2 linked regions of the Bombyx mori genome follow. The protein of the gene in region 1 binds, or shares a complex with, the protein of each later gene. Links are inferred from orthologs where the notes say so. Each region holds a gene or a part of one and is shown on either strand. Other genes may lie near its edges.

Region 1 (3,666 bases):
TAGCAGATGCTTAACTATATATTACCTGGTACAATTTGCTATTCTGACAAATATTCCTGTGACATTTCTCCAGGTCAGCGCTAATCTCGTCCATGGAGGCAGTTGCTAAAGCGCCCTCGTCTACAAAAAATTGTGTGAGTCAACATGTTTGTTTGTATGGGTCAGAATTTTTACTTTGCTCTCTATGTATGGTATTAATCGGTTTTCATGTGAATGTATTACATCGTCTCAAACTTTTTCGTCTGTGTGTTGCATGTCGCGTGGCGGTCGGCCGCGGAGTAGCCAGAGCAGCCAAGGCCAATATAGCGGCGCCTGTAGTTCGCAGCAGCTGACCGTGTAGTGTATAAGTTATTACTCATTTGTGCCAGTGCTCTACGCTATTTTGTTTGTTTTTGTCAGTGTTTAATGTGAATGTTGTTTGTCAGAGTTAAATGTCTATAACGTGAAACAAAGTTTCACTTTTACCGTGGTTTCATAAAACCACACAATCCTTTTTTTTGTTTTTCTCACCGATGTTACACCCTGTCCAAGCGTTCCAATTCGGCTGCGGAGGAGACCACGTCACAACACCAGCCGGCATAGGCTTCGCTTCTCTCATAGCCTTCGCGCGATCTTTTTGCAACAGAGTCACAGCACTCCCCTCTTGGTTATCTTGGCTTGGTGCGTCGACATTAACTGGCTCGATTTCTAATTCTAAAATATGAAATAGAAGAAACATTTAAGTTTCAAAAAAAATAATACCAAAACAGTTGAAATATTTCAAGTTTAACAACGAACCTTGTAAGGTATCTTCTAATTGTTGTTCAAGTTCCGGGCATATAGCAACTGGATATGGTTTCATAATACCCTCTGAGGATCTGAAATTGTTAAAAACAATTACAATTACCGTAGTTTGTTATGTTATGATTTAAGAACGTCTAACGAAAGACAATTAACAATCCGGGACCACTCATGATCTTCCAACTTTTTTTTTTATTACCTGTCCCTTTTTAGCGTACCGCTGTATGCCTCAATGACTCCAAGATGGTATAGCTGTCTCACGATCGACAGTGCACATGACTTGCTGGCGGTTTGCTTGTTTGAGGCGGTCTCCCGACCGGTGACATTGCGTCCCAATTGACTCACATATATTGTTAGCTCACAAGCGAAACTCCTACAAAAATATTCGTATTATTTTAATATTTTAAGAATCCTTAGTAGTATCGTCATGGCACTCTCAGTTCAAAAGCAGCCTACATAGTTAGAAGCGAGGCATGCTGTGATTACTATTATAATTTCGAGTAAGAAATAGTTTTAAACTACATACATGAAATTTCTTTTAAATACCTACGTATATAATGAAAAAAAAAAAGGACAGAATAGTTATAGATAGCAAAAACTCTATCCGATCCTAATGAGCCATATTTATCAATGAGTAGGCATAAAACTTGATAAAAAATATATACATATATGAACACTACGCTAGGTTAATAAAAATAATAATTATGAAACCTGCATCATTGCTCTTAAAATATGAAAATCGACAAAGTTTAAGGTTACACACAAAGAGTACCCAGTCGAAGCCAGTACGTGCTCAAATGTACTACCTCTTCTTCGTCTTTCTCTCACTGCTGACGATCGCGACCACATGTAACTTTCCTCCATAGTGTTCGGTCATGGGTGGCATAGACCGCATTGTATAGGCTACCAACCGCTTTCTTAAACAGATCTCACCATCTGGCTAGTGTACTACCCACGGCCCGCCTGCCTATTCTATATTGGACTACCTAGTACCTACACGTATCTATATGCCGGCGGCCACATTTTTACCAACGTCAACCCAAGAAGTTCACGATGGTGCTTATCGAATATCATAACCCAAAGTTATGTCCGATTATGATGAATATGCCTATCTTCTATAGCAGAAATACGCATCGACGGACCCATCCGCACGGGTTCGCAACTTGTATGTCAATGACCGCGATCTCAGTTTATTGACCTGATATTCAGCTGTTTGCAGTAGCTGTTTTGACTTTTCTTAGTTTATATTTGACCTTAGTTTTATAAAATTATAGCATGTTAAAAAAGCAGATTTATGTAGCCACCAAACAAAAACACTCATGGATCAGACAGTGTTTTTGTTATTTACAAAAATTTCTTACCTATTTATTATGTAGCCAATTAGAATTTTACGATCTTCATTAAATAGAAAATGTTACTAATTATAATTTAATCTCATGTAAACAAAGTACCTAAAGTCCAAACAAGATGTATTAAGGAAATACTATGTTGCATGCTCTAAAACATATCACAACTTACCTTTGTTTAGATGTAATGACCCATACATTCCAGAACCGTGGCCAATCATTGTGACTTTCTCAATGAGCACACCTGAATTCAGAAAATATCCAAGACTCAATATTGTTCGTTAACGTTGTGTAATGCCACTTTTTTTTTGTTTTTGTTTCAAAATAATTGGATTTTTGAGAGAAAACAATTGGATGAGTATGGGACTTAGTTACATAATAAACAAATATCTGGGAATTTATACACACGGATGGTTGAGAAAGAGGCACAAAAAATGACGCAGTGTAGATAGCTGATAAAAGTGCTCTAAATTATAATTAATGGTTCCGAGCTCAGCTTGCCCCTACTATCAATTTAATTGACAGGTGTTAAGGAAACAAAACAATCTAAATTTATGTACTACATACATACACAGTAATTTGTTTATCAGGTATTATTTTCATGAGCCTTCATAGTAATACGTCCAACCACAGCTTCATTGTATAAAGTAGTGTTTGGCTATCCAATACAGATATTATTATGAGGGCCACTGAAGTTCAGCGTCAATTACTGTGTGGGATTACGTTCAATCTTTTAGTCTTGGATAGTCTTTTTGTCTTGGATATTTTCTGCAGGTTTTGCTCTTCTTATGTGAAAAATCTGCTGAAGCTAACTTTGCATCTATCGCAAAGGGTAGCTTCATATTCTGATAAAATCTTAGTTTTTCTTTGTTTTTTCAATTATTGATTATCCTTATCACACAGACAGGGTAACAATTGTATGCTGTAATAATTATGTTAATAATACTTTACGTACTGAAAATCATTGCTTCAAAAAACCTATTAACTGCACGAAGACATCTTTTTTGCATTCTATTCTATCAGCCTACAGACATTCACTGCTGGACATAGCACATTTGATAGCTATCAGAAGTTTCAATAAAATGAAAATTATTCTTTTGGTTGTTTCACATTCCCTTGGTAAAACATTGCTCGGGCGTCTCCTCTGAGGAGATTTGAGAACGATTATTATGACAGTATGACAAACACACGAACTCTCCAGGGTATAACGGAGTCACGTCTTGACATTTGTACAAAAATGCCACCACCTTTAGACAGAAGACTAAAGCCTAAACTTAAATACAAGTTACACTAATGCAAATGACGGTGGTCAATGCGGTACACAAATGCTTTAGATCCTAGGTGAACCATGTTATGATGTCATAGGAGAGTACCCATGGCATAATGTTAAAATATTAAGGTAATTGAAGTTTTTACTTTCATCATTCTTCTAATTCTGGCCATATGTTATTACAAGTAGAATTAACAGCATACAAATGTAAATCCTCATGCCAAGTGAGTAGAGGTTATAAAATTTAATCACACTTTATATCGACAAAAG
Region 2 (3,666 bases), on another chromosome or scaffold:
CTGCCGTGAAGCAGTAATGCGTTTCGGTTTGAAGGGTGGGGCAGCCGTTGTAACTATATTTGAGACCTTAGAACTTATATCTCAAGGTGGGTGGCGCATTTACGTTGTAGATGTCAATGGGCTCCAGTAACCACTTATAAAAAATATATAAAAAAAAAGTTTCGCGGCTGTCTGCTTTATAAACACTATTTCTAATTGAATTAATTCTCATCATGATCATTGCATTTAATGAGTTCCCGTTATTACAACGCTGTTCCGAGCGTGATCACGGGCAGTCTGCTTATGACGACAAGAACTCATACAATAACAAGTGTTTATAAATTAACGTATTGTTCTGTGCTGAAGTTTGTGGTGAATTATACAGGCTTCGTTCTCACAAGTCCGTTGTTTCGCAATCTGAAAACGAGGAGCCGGCACCTTCGACCTCGACTGGCGAACCGAGGACATTCGAAACACTTTCCTCCAGGTAAATATATATAGCCTTTTTTTACACTAATGTTTTTTTTCTACCTACCGCCAGTAACTTCAAGGGGTTATATTAGCTAGCTTCACTGAACGTCTAGACGAACTCACAGGGGTTTCAACCTCGAAGACTTTGCCGAATCTACTAGCGGATCGGAAACGCGACCCACTGTGACGATCCGACGAGAAACTCAGTGGGCTATATATTCGTGTATAAGTTTTGTTTAGATCGAATTTCGTGTAGCAGTTTCGAACCGCTCGCTCCTACCGCTCGCTAACGGAGGAGTTGGTTTTTTACGTGCCGGTTCAATTTGACACTATTTTTAAGGAATTTTATGACCTGGTAACTAAGACTTTTAGGTCAAGTCTTATTTTAATTTATAATCTTATTTTTATGTAAAATGATAATATGGAGTGAAATGAAATGAAATGAAGATGATTAATTTGAGACATTAATCAACTGAGATGAAATGAGATGAGATGATATGGGATGAAATATAATCTCAGTAAAATGGTGGTTATCTACTAAGACTTTTCCAGTGGGCTTTTTGGAGGATCCCGAGAAGCTACGTCCAGCGGCTTTGTCTCATTTTCCCACATTTGTACACTTTACACACACAGATACTAAACATTTAATAAACTATTAAACATTTAAACCTGAAAAAACACTAAATAGACAAAATAAAACAAATCACATAACTTCACTCCTCGCGTTCCCGCCAAAAAGTCCTATTTTACATTTTTATCGTAATCGTAAACAAATGATAAAAGGTTAATTCAACAAGAAGCATAGACACGAAATTTTCTGTATATTATACATTTTATTTCAGTTCGCGTTTCATTCTAAAACTAATGGTAATTACAATAAAAACGTTATTTCGAAGTCACGTTTCAACTTCGATCTGTGGTCTCCAATAATTAAATGAAGCCAAGTCGGCCGAGTTTTATTCTATACTGTGGTGCAAAAATAAACGCTACGCCCATACGTACACATTACGTAATGTACTGTGAAATGTGATACTCGCTGGCGGTAGGTAGGGTAGGTACACGGAAATACAATTCCAAGCAAGATCATTTAACTTAGAATATTGCACGCAATTATACATGCGTCCGTAATTGAAATTCCTGAGATATTGGCGTGGGCGCTTTCCATGAATAAACGCTAAGAAGATTATCTAAAAAAGAACGTAAAATATTTTAAGACAAATAACGAAATGAAATATTTTTTGAATAATACTCGTTTTAAAATATCGTATGTTATTGTGCACAGAAAAAGGGTTTGACAAACTATGGTGTGTAATAAAAATCAAACCCGAAAAATTAGTATTTGCGTAATTCCTGGTGGTAGGCTGCTTTGTATGACACGTGACACGGCAGAATACGGTTTCACAGTTGCGGCAGCCGTTGTACTGTAAAAACTGAGACTTTGAACTCATGTCTCAAAGTGAATGGCGGCATATAAGTTGTTGATGTTCACGGGCTCCGGTAACCACATATCACCAGGTGGGCTGTGAGCTCGTCCACCCATTTACCCAATAAAAAAGTGTAATTTGACAGCCGATTTTAGTAGTGTATAGATTTTAATGGGTTACCGTAAATTACGTCCGCGTTGGTTCATTTTGAAGTGTGTCACTTATGGACAGCAGCAATAAAATAATAAAACTACAATACAAAACACTAACAAAACTGTTTCTCAGAGAGTTAGCAGAGTCATCTAATTGATAATATGTATTTTGTTTATATATGTTTTTATATGTATATATTTATGATATGTATATGTGTATCTATATATTTATGTATATGTATTTATTTAAGTAGGAGTATTTGTATCTATAAATATTATGAATGTTATATATACACATATGTTTAAGTAATATCACCTTCACACTACACCTACCAAGCTTCATCTCTGCACTCCCCTAAGGTAGTCAGTTAGAGAATGCCTATGGCATTAAGTCCGCCTTTATGGTAGTCGCCTTTCTAGTATATGAAGTTATAAAAAATAAAATAAATAAAATAAAACTGTCTCTTCGCTCACATTTTTTTTTTATTTTTATTTTTATTTTTTGCCTTTGTAGGCAGACGAGCGTACGGCCCACCTGATGGTAAGTGGTTACCGTCGCCCATGGACTTCAGCAATGCCAGGAGCAGAGCCAAGCCGCTGCCTACTGCTTAATACTCTCCACAAGCCTCGTTTGAAGAAGGACATGTCATAGCGTTCGGGAAACACCGCGGAGGGGAGCTCATTCCATAGCCGGATGGTACGTGGCAAAAAATACCTCTGGAAACGCACTGTGGATGACCGCAGTGGCTCCAGGTAGTATGGATGAACTCTACTCCGGTGGCGGGCGGTGCGATGGTAAAAACGAGACGTTGGTATCATCTCGAACAATTCCTCAGAGCACTCCCCATGGAACATGCGGTACAAAATACAGAGGGACCCGAAGTCCCTCCGCAGACCCAGAGGTCACATTTCAGTTTTACGTTAAATCGTTTTTATAATAATAATAAAAATGAGATGGAAACACAGAAAATGTATTATTGATGAAAATACAAAAAAAAAGGAAAAAGGCTGTAAAATCTATTAACCTTTTTGTGCTGCGAAATAATCGCTCGTCCCGTTAAGAGTCGCTATCCTATTAAATTACGGTAACCGAGAAATACTTCATGGCTCAAAATAATCAGCGGTATTAATTTTGGGCTATTCTTTATTTATTTCATTTACTTCAGATTTTGCATCCATATAACATTCATTAACAATAACTACAATTTCAGAATAAAATAATAATAATAATAAAACAAAAAATAAAAATTCATTTCAAAACTACCTTAACCTAAAAGCTGGTTTTGGTCTAGAGTGATCATCATTCGTAATATATTAAAGAAATATAATATACAAATAATTATAATATAGAACATCTTACATCAGATGGGCCAATTCCCTAATAGAGCCCTTTATACCACGCACCTATAAGCATAGTAAGCTACACCCGTCCTAACCCTAGTTTTAAAACATTTCATTGTGTACTAACAACTTAGAATATAATAATAATTCACAGGTTAGTTTTACAAAAATTTTTCAGCGTGGGAAGTAGCGGCTCGTCCATGAGCGAAGGTTGGACCCATCCACCGAAAACAGCTCCCGTATCCACCAGCACTCGCACTCCGCTCTCGCTGCTCTTGGAAAAGGTAGCGTATACGTTT

Evidence for each region. The genes of interacting proteins can lie anywhere in the genome.
Region 2: MLE (region 1) and Msl3 share a complex: the UniProt entries of both Drosophila melanogaster proteins name them as parts of the male-specific lethal (MSL) histone acetyltransferase complex. The link is inferred for Bombyx mori from reciprocal best matches to the Drosophila melanogaster genes mle and msl-3.

Annotation. Positions count from the first base shown.
Region 1 is NC_085132.1:4,383,930-4,387,595, reverse strand, and holds part of MLE (MLE protein), read right to left. Parts: intron 2,315-3,666; exon of another isoform or gene 2,299-2,314; intron 1,154-2,298; coding exon 980-1,153; intron 858-979; coding exon 778-857; intron 694-777; coding exon 511-693; intron 121-510; coding exon 26-120; intron 1-25. UniProt on the Drosophila melanogaster protein: RNA helicase component of the male-specific lethal (MSL) histone acetyltransferase complex, a multiprotein complex essential for elevating transcription of the single X chromosome in the male (X chromosome dosage compensation).
Region 2 is NC_085113.1:6,770,547-6,774,212, reverse strand, and holds part of Msl3 (male-specific lethal 3), read left to right. Parts: intron 1-364; coding exon 365-466; intron 467-3,521; coding exon of another isoform or gene 3,522-3,545; coding exon 3,546-3,651; intron 3,652-3,666. UniProt on the Drosophila melanogaster protein: Component of the male-specific lethal (MSL) histone acetyltransferase complex, a multiprotein complex essential for elevating transcription of the single X chromosome in the male (X chromosome dosage compensation).